Ovis aries: one gene and its partner. The protein of the gene in region 2 purifies or fractionates together with the protein of the main gene of each other region. This does not show direct contact. Links are inferred from orthologs where the notes say so. Each region holds a gene or a part of one and is shown on either strand. Other genes may lie near its edges.

Region 1 (5,120 bases), on a different chromosome or scaffold from region 2:
ATGATAACAAATTGGCCAGGAATACTTACATCAGTTTTGTCTTGAGTCTCAGAGAGTAATAGCAGGAATAAATTCCTTTCTACTTTTCTCAGAGACAGTTTGGTTTAAAGTGGTCCTCTTCCAGATTCTTCTTCTGTAATTTTTACTGATCACAAATGAACACTAGCATATATCACAAGGTCTCCTGTATCAGAGGGACTAACTGAAGGGGACGGCTTGGAAGTTCACCCACATCCCAACAGGCAACCTACACATAATCCCACCCTGAACACGTCTCTTGGGTTAGGTTGGAACAGGCAGACACCCCCACCAAAGGCCAAAATATAATTGACAGTGAACAGAAAACCATAGTATAGACAAAATATTCCAGCTTTCTCTATTATAAAAAAAATCAAATTCACTGGGGCCGGGCACTCATTATTTTTTTTTTCTATAACTCCCCAGGATTGTCAAAAGTAATCTTGTAGCCAACCCGCTTGCAGACAGTAAAGATGACCTGAAATAGACCACCCATGGTGCCAAAAGCCGTGTCAAAGAGCAGAGAGAGGATGCCACCAAGGCCCATGGCAATGTCCCTGCAGACAATCGGAACTGCGCCTATGGTGTACACGGGGAACGTGGCCACGTCCACAAGCACCCGGACAGGGACACCCACGACGCGGCAGACCACCTTCAGCAGGCAACAAAGGATCCGGAGCACGGCCCTGGTGATCCTGACCGTGACTTTGAGGACCTTCCAGGGAATGCTGCCCAGTTCCTCCCCGATGGTCAAGAAGTAGGTGATGGTGGCTGACCCCAGGCGATAAAGGCAACTTTCTAGACCGTTAATCACCTGCTTGGTGACATACCAGAGGAAATACACAGTGTACTTCAGGATCCCAAAGGCAAGGTAATAAATTAACTGGCAGAGCTTGATCAACGGGGTAACGACAAAGCCCAGGAGTCTTCCCAGAAGACTACTCCCTTCCCCAGATGTCTCCGGAGGAGGCAGGGCAGACCTGGTTCCCCTCACGCTGGAGAGCATCTCGGAGCCGCCCTCAGAGTCCAGCCTCCGCTCCTCGTCCTGGACTTGGTTAACCACCTCCAGGATTTTTTTCATCTTCTCTGTGTCTTGGTCAGTTTCCCCACAGTTGTTCTGGAACAGCTGAAGGTGGAATGGAAGCAGCTTCTCCAGGTCCCTCAGCATCACATCCTCGATGACCTCCCGGTCACGGGTGTGCTTGACAAAGCCCATGGCCCAGCCTCCAGCAGGGACCGCGCAGCAGGCCGCCAGCCAAACAAACTCCGGGACGCTCACTCTGTCGCTGACCCTGAGGTCCGAGGGCACGGCACCTGTGATGATGTAGAGCTCGTCCCCACTGCCACACTGTGGGGTCAGAGCTCGCTCCATCAGGCTGTTGAGATTCATGTACCACCTTTCCTGGAAGGACGGGGTCATCGGAGCTGCGTTTGTGAGAGTGAAGGTGGCCGAGTGGGGGTCAGTGCTGAGAGAGAACGGGTAGAGCTGCCCGGTCCGGTAATCAGAACCCAGGAAATCTGCATTCAAGGCTTGGTTGCTTCCCAGCTTGCTCACAGACCTGACGGCCTCGGCCTCATCCGTCACCTCCTCCAGGCTGCTATTGGGGTCATCAATCTGAAAGGAGAGAGCGAGGTTGAGATGCGTCCCTGTTCACAGCAGACTGGGGGTCCTCGGACCATTCTGCCCAGACTCTAGTGAAGTCCCTACTATACAGACACTTCCAACGCTTTGGTCTGGAAGTACACACACACTTCGTCCTAATACCCCACAACCCTAGTGTCTGAAAGCATCTTTCAAGTTGGCTATATCCTCTTCCACTCTCTGTGTCTATTCCACTCTTGACCTACAGTAATGACCTATCCCACACTCACACAAATACACCATCAGAACACCAGTTTTCAATCTGCTGCGGTTTTATAAACGTCATGCCCTTTTCCGGGAATGTTTTTCCATGAGATTCAAACTGACTGCAAAAACGAAAGCAAGGGGAAAAGTAAATCTCAGCAGGCCTGTAAAAATCAGAACTTGAATTCAGATAATCAGCCACCAATGTGAGCTGCAATTTAAAGAACGTAGTCTTAAGTGAATTTTGCATATTTGGGGATATACAAAGAGCAATCAACTCTAATCAGAGAATTTAAATCAAATAGAGGGACATGTATAGATTATTGTCAGTTATATTAGATACTTCCCAGGCCAAGATAGAATTTGACCAGCTGCTCTTCGAACTTCATCTCCTCATAATATTTGCAATTATTAACAATGCATTTTCTGTCTAGGCCTATTGAGCTATTTGCTAAATATCAATAACTATATATATCTCCCTCTTAGTTCTGCTCTATTCATTTTAAATTCAGCAGTATAATATATATGTCACTTTGCCAATCTGAAAAGATGAAAGGAAAGAGCTCAGGACTGACCCCAAACTCTGTTTTTAGCTCCCAAATTAGACTATAAATTTCTTGACACCATGGATCCTGTACAAAGGACCCAGTCAAGGACTGACACATACTAGAATCTCAACTTGTTTTTTAGTCACTAAGTCATGTCCAACTCTTTGTGACTCATGGACTGTAGCCTGCCCAGCTCCTCTGTCCATGGGATTTTCCAGGAAAGAATACTGGAATAAGTTTCCATTTCCTTTTCCAGGGAATCTTCCCAACCCAGGAATCGAACTCATGTGTCCTGCATTGGCAGGGAGATTCGTTACCACTTGAGAATCTCAAGGCACTCTTGTTAATCTGAGATCAGTATTAACTGATCACTGCAGTATTTATAATGGCAGGAAGCTGAACCAACCTACATTTTCAAAAACCGGCAACAGTTAAATAAATGGTGTTATATCCATCAAGGAAATATCTCAAAGCCATTAAAAAGCACTTGTAGTGACAGGGAAATATGTGCTATAATTTTGAAAGGAAAAGGCAGATTATAAAATTAAATGATAACAATTTTTTAAGCCTAAAAATGAGCAAGAAAAAAGTTTGAAACACATGAAAATGTCCATTATGGCTGATCGACTCCTAAGGATACAAGCGATACATTTTTTCCCTTGTTTTCTTGTTTCTCTTGGTTCAGCTCTTACCTACATCAACCCACAGATGATTTATATGTTAGTTTCAAAAGGAAAAAAAGAAATGAATTAAAAGAAGTAAATTCTGACTAATTGATTCCCTAGAGTTGGTGCTACTCGCTAAACCCAAGAGGGCCAAGGCCATGTGGATTGCTGTACCTCACGTGGGAGGGCAACCCACTCTACATTTCTCCAGCTCTGCAACAGCAAAAGTAGGCATGCTCATGCACACACGTGTAGCATTAGTGAGGGCAACGAATGAGCAAGTTGGTGTGAAAGCAGGAATAGTCATGAAAGCTAATGGAGTATTCCATAGCCTCACCTTTCAAGGTCGTTCCATCCCTGCCCCCAGACTCAAATTAGAAATGATCCTGGATGGTCCCCACTCCCACCACACCCCTAGAGGACAGCGATAAGACGCTCACCCATTTTGTAAAGCTGCCCTTGCTCTCCTATAGCCAGAAGATACAACTCATGGAAATATCTGCCTCATTCCTGAATCATGAGATCAAGGTACGGCAGAGCCAAGATTGTAGAGTCTTGGGTGGAAGGCCAGGAATTTTAGGGTGCCTGTTTATTCTCCCTGCTTACTAGGGTACTGTGTCTGCATTTAGCTTGGTGTGGCTTCTTTATCCCATCTAGAGGAAACCTGGAGCTGGGTTTTGGGTTTTTTTTGTTCTTTTTTTTTACTGGTAGCCAGTGACAGAGCATAGGGCAACACACTGGTTCATCTTCTTTCCAAGAGCCACCCAGGGATGAAATAATGCCTGCAAGGACAGAAGGCAGGCTGGAACACAAACAGAGAAAAGAGATTCTTAGATAAAGAAGGGGAAGGAACCAAAAAGGGCCAGGCAGGGAAAGAAAAGGGGAGGGATAAAAGAGAGGGAGGAGAAAAGAAGAGAGTGAGATTGGGTGTGTGTGTGTGCATATGTGTGAGAGACAGCCTACAACATCCTGCTCTTAGAAACCAGAACTGTGGGTTGATTTACTCCCAAACTTCAGAGCGTGGTCTCCCGTGGCTAAGGTCAGAGGAGACTAAGGCAGGGGCTTCCACGTCCTCTCAGGCCACTTGAGTTCAATGGGCTCCAGGTATCTGCCATAATGGAGTCTCTCCTGCCCACAGCTCGCAGGTACATGGGAACCGGCCAGGATGAACCGAGGTGACTGCGGAGGTCGGGACCTAATTCCGCAGTGGGCCCTGTGCACCTCCCTGCCCTGAGCCTCTGCAGGCAAAGCAGAGACTAGACGATGTGGTCCAGATGCACAGGCAGGAGAGAGCACGTCTTCCTTTCCCTTTTCCTGGCCTTCTTCAGAACCTCACATCCATGTATTGTTATGAACCCCAAATTGGCCCTATGGTTTGATGACAGGGTAGAATATAGTGTTGGAAGTGAAGATAGAATGTCTGTATCCGGTACCTATATAGCAATACAGCAGGAGGTCAAGGACTAATTTTTCTTAACTACCAGTTAAATGATTTCAATATAATGTTACAGAAGGTCTTTTTTTTCTACCTGATTCTACAGGTGGGGAAACTAAAACACAGAAAGGTGAATTTTTCCAAAGTCATCCAAAAATTAGCAGGACAGAATTTGAACTGAGGTCAGTCATTTTATTCCTAAGGTACACATTCTTTATGACTAAGCCATGCTTTCCGCATATTAACGGACACTGCTGTACCAGTTTTCTATGCCAGAGAGTAGAAAACCAAACAGAAAAAGAAATCACAGTCTCCTTTTCTCTCTATGACACAGAATAAATGAAATTCCTTAAATGTACAGGGAGAGAAGCCGGTCTGAGCGCCCTGGGGTTGCAATCCCCAGAAAGAAGGGAGAGTGGAAAGGGGAAGGTGAATGGGCACACATGCAGACCAGCCCTCAGGCTTCCTTTCTGCCTTTGCCCAGAGCACACAGAAGCTCAGCCACCAGCTTCACAAGCCAAGGAAGGTGGCAGCTCAGGCAGGAGCAACCAGCCAGAGTAGTTTCCAGCTTGCACTTAGTCGCTCAGTCATGTCCGACTCTTGCGACT
Region 2 (4,653 bases):
GTAAGTTGCCATTTCCTTCTCCAGGTGATCTTCCTGACCCAAGGATCAAAGCTGTATCTCTTATGTCTCCTGTTTGGCAGGCAGATTCTTTACCACTGAGCCACCTGGGAAACTTACATACATTACTTTGTTTTAATAACCATAGGAAGCCAAGTGTTTCTGTCCCATATTCCAGATAAGAAAATTGACATCAAGAAAGGTTACTAGGCTTGTTAGTAAATGACAGAGTCAGGGATGGAACCCAACTCTTCAAATGATCGCAACCCCCATTTTTGGGCCTCATTCTTTAGCTGAAATGCTCTGTTGTTAGGGTCCTGAAATTCTTAACAATTTTTTCTTTTAACTTAACTTTGTAAGTTAAGTGCCATGGGGCAATGGAGCAGAAGCAGATGGGCAGTGTGCATGCCTGCAGTTCTCTCCCACCCCGAGAGAGCATGTGCAATGCCCTGGTGGGTCAGATAGTAAAGAATCCACCTGCATGCAATGCGATGGAGAATCCCACGGACAGAGAAGCCTGGTGGCCTCAGTCCATAGGGTCCCACAAAGAATCGGTCACGACTAAATCAGCTTTAGCACACATGCATGAGTACAAAACTCCAGCAGCTCACAAGTGGGAGTACTGCAAGGCTCAAAGTGTAGGTGCTACATCTATAACTGATCAAGCAAGGGCCCCCAAGAGGCCATGCCTCCCATTCAAACCAGAGCTTTGTCCAAGTACAACACAAGAAATAACTGAGAAGCCATATCAGCTCTTTCCTCACCATTGTTACTTTCCTGTGTTAGCCATCCACTCAAGGCTGAAAATGCTGACACAGAAGGAAAGGGTAACCTCGACTTCTCCCTTTCATTGCCTCCTTACTCATCAGTAAGGTAGGGAACGTCAGCAGAATGTGCACAAACAAGAAGAGAAATGAAAACAGTTGAGTGAATTCTGTGCAGTGTCCCTGCTATTCTGGTGGACACAAAATACGTGTCCGAGCTAACAGACACGAATTGTGTGCTTCTAGGAATACTGCATTTGAGTTTAAAAGTTCTTGCTTTATCTGAAGTGAAGTGAAGCGAGGTTGCTCAGTCGTGTCCGACTCTTTGCGACTCCATGGTGTGTCCATGGAATTTTCCAGGTAAGAATGCTGGAGTGGGTTGCCATTCCCTTCTCCAGGGGATCTTCTCAACCCAAGAATCGAACCTGGGTCTCCTGCACTGCAGACGGATTCTTTACCATCTGAGCCACCAGGAAGTCCTGCTTGCGTTTAAAGCCGGCATCACAATATTAAGAGGAACCATAAAATTCACACTAATAATTTTAAAATGTCAACTTAGCATTGAATAGTAATTTTTTTTTAAAGTCAAAAAGAGGGACCATGGTCGAGAGGAAAACTTGGCATTTTTTCCTGCATTTCGAATGAGGGACTCCACAAATTACGTAGCTGGTGCTGTTGCTGAGTAGTGACATTAAATGAGGGAACGACCTCAAATGTTTTGGAAATAGATCTAGGAGGTCCTTATTCCCCTAAGATTGAAAACAACTCACTCCTTTGGGGTTTTATCTTTTTTATTTCTCTCACTTCCCACAACCAGTTTTTTAAAAAAAGAAACAACGCAGGTACAAGGATCCAATTTTTTAAAATCAGAGTACAAAGAGGACCACAGCCCTGCCCAGATTTAACTTACGTATTTACATATTTGGAGAGGTGTGTGGTGTGGGTGTGGCTGCAGAAGCACGTTTAAAAGGCTGCATTACAAAATATACAAAGGTGGTCTTTCTTAGTAGAACCTGGCCTGGTTTCCAAATGAGAGCGCTACATAACACAAATCACAGTACTACTTACTATATAACTTACAAAAAATGCTGTACAGTTGCAGGAGTATAAATATAGAGTATAAATGGCTCTGTTTGGGAATCTGTATCTACACAGGGAAGGTCAGGGGAAGGCTCAGTTTGGTATCCCAACCTGCTAAAGTGATTGAGAAGCTAGAATGGGGAAGAACAGGGTCTGGGAGCACGGCTGCATTGATCCCCTTTCCCAGGCTTGATTGAAGCTCACTCACTCTCCAGGGAGAACTAGGTTTGTTGAGGGTAAGAAGCAAAGGCAAGAGGTGCAAATAATAATACAACGGGGGCTCTCAAAGGCACAGAGAAGGCTTCTGGGCCAAGAAGGAGCACTTCTTGGATCCACAGACATGCACGCACCCCACTGCCACTTGAAGATCATGGTTCTGTGGGCAGTCCAGCCATGCCCTGGTTTCTACCCTCAGTGAAAAATTTGAAGCTTTGCAGACGTGGAGAGAGGGCAGATGAGCAAAGTTCATTTATGGATGGGACTATGAGACAATGTCTGGAAAGAGGTTCTGGCTTTGAGGGAAGGAGGGGTGGGTGCAAATATGGGCGGAATCTGACCCAGATAGTCATTTTGTACAAGGAGCCAAGGGGCACAGAGAGCTGTAGAGCTGTCCTACGCTCAGGTGCTTTATGTTTCAGGGGGCAGAATGGAGGGGACTCAGAACCGGCCGGCATATCTTACTCCAGAAGACTCAGCAGGGGTGATTTTTATCAGCACTAGGCTTTAGCCAGAACATATGCTGGGTTAGCTGGGTTAAGAAGCACCCAAGGCTCTTGTGGCAGAGATGAACCATCTCCCTCAAATGTTCCCCAATTCCCAGCACTCATCCTCCACCTGCCAGCTCAGGGACAGCACTGATCTTTTACGAAAACCCTGCCAGGGGATGTGAGGAGCACTAAGAAGGGGAAAAGGCCACACCGATGGTCTTCTCCAAGTCCCAGACAGTTACACCATTTCCCGTGAATTGGGCTGCCCTTGGACTGTATGGGAGCAGCTGCTCTTGACTGAAGCAGGTCTTTGATAAAAGAGAGATGCCTGAGCTGGATCATAATAAAGAAAAGTGTACATGAATACGCACCTCTGAGAACCTTCCTTAAATTCCTCCCTTGGGGCTTTTCCTTTGGAAGAGGATGGTCAGGGGGTAAAAAGCCCTATTGACCAACCCAGCTGTGTGCTGGGGAAATTGCGATCATCTCTCCGGCCAGGTTTCACTAATTCTCTTTCAGTGTCGTTTTGTGCCTTCCCGAGCCTCGAAGGCCCAGGGAGCGTGGGGCTGGGATGGAACTACTGTGTGGGCTTGATACACTGGGCCAAGGGAATGAGAGCTGGGATGGATGTCATTTCTCAATGGGGAAGGAATTCCCCTGAAATGGAGGAAGAACCAAGAGGGAGCCAGAGCGTGTGGACTATGGGGCCCTCCCCCCCGTCTCCAGGCAGCCCCTACCTACAAGGCTGTGATGCTGGAAACGATTTTGGTGCCTGAGGCCTCCACTTCACACTTAGTGGCCCCACCCTGGGCCTCTTTGTCCATGGCCAAGTTGTCGAATGCCTCAGGGGGCTTGACCGGCTCGTCCTTCACCTCCTCCAGGTCTTCGCAGCACTTGCTGCTACGGCAGCACCTGGAGCAGCCGCACAGCCCGCAGCAGACGCGGCAGCAGACGCGGCAGCAGCAGCAGCAGCGCCTCTGGAAGCAGCTGGTGAGGGAGGTGATGAGCTTGTCCCAGGGCTCCAGGGAGCGCATCCACAAGGGCAGGAAGTCCCAGCTTCGGAGCTTCTGGGGCAAGGAGCCAGGGCAGCAGGACTGCAGGATCTTGAGGACCACCACCAGTAAGATCACAAGGACGATGGGCGACGCCACGCCCACCAGCACCGGCCAGCCAAGCAGGGAGAGGCCGAACACCCCCAGAGGGATCAGGAGGAAGAAGATGATCAAGTAGACGATGGCGAACCAGCGGTACTTAGCTGAGACGCTGCCCAGCCCTTTGGCCAGGCGGATAGGCAGGCGAGTGAATGGGATTGGGTACCACAGGATGATGCCTGAGATGTTGAAGAAAAAGTGGCACAGGGCGATCTGAAAAGCAAGGGGTTGGAGAGGTGAATGGGTCTGCCTCACAGAGAGAAGAGGGCGTCATCTAGAAGTGGAGTCATGGGTCTTCCTCACCTTCGTAGCTCAGCCCAGAGTGGGAGGGATTACATTAGCTGAGGGCCTAATGTGTGTCGCTGGGGGGCGGGGGGTGGGGGGTGGGCGGGGGGGGGGGGGGGGGGGGGGAGGGGGGGGAGCCGGCCAGGTGGGGAGAGGGGAAGGCAAGGGAAGTGACCACCTGAATCACAGTTTAGTTTTCAGGGCCTGAAGTTTCCGTTAGGCAAAATCTAACAGTGAACTTTGAGAAATTGAGGCACTATGAGGTTAAGCTATTTTCCTCAAATCATACAGATGGGAGATGGGATTCAAACCCAGATAGCCTGGCTCCAGAGGCCATATACTTTGTACTTTCTTATATGTTCCACCAGGAACTGTGCATGATGTTAGGGGCTTTGGACCAGCCCTATCCAATGCATTAGTCACTATCCACTGCGATGTGGCCTAAATGTAAAATACTCGCTGGATTTCCAAGATTTAGTCCAAAACAATTGTAAATGACTTTCCACATGCTATGGAGCAACTAAGCAAGCTTGTGCACAACAATTACTGAGGCCGCACTCCACAACAAGGGAAGCTACCACAATGAGAAGCCCACTCAAGGCAACAAAGTGAGCTCCCACTCACTGCAACTAGATAAAGCCCATGTGCAGTAACAAAGACCCAGTGCAG

Evidence for each region.
Region 1: the proteins of SLC34A2 (region 2) and ENDOD1 purify together in Homo sapiens (co-immunoprecipitation; 3 studies listed by BioGRID and IntAct, counting the BioPlex papers as one, with this or other methods). This does not show direct contact. The link is inferred for Ovis aries from reciprocal best matches to the Homo sapiens genes SLC34A2 and ENDOD1.

Annotation. Positions count from the first base shown.
Region 1 is NC_056068.1:14,968,202-14,973,321, forward strand, and holds part of ENDOD1 (endonuclease domain-containing 1 protein), read right to left. Parts: intron 1,634-5,120; coding exon 431-1,633; 3' UTR 1-430. UniProt on the Homo sapiens protein: May act as a DNase and a RNase. Plays a role in the modulation of innate immune signaling through the cGAS-STING pathway by interacting with RNF26.
Region 2 is NC_056059.1:45,770,866-45,775,518, reverse strand, and holds the end of SLC34A2 (sodium-dependent phosphate transport protein 2B), read right to left. Parts: intron 3,913-4,653; coding exon 3,286-3,912; 3' UTR 1,535-3,285; downstream 1-1,534. UniProt on the Homo sapiens protein: Involved in actively transporting phosphate into cells via Na(+) cotransport.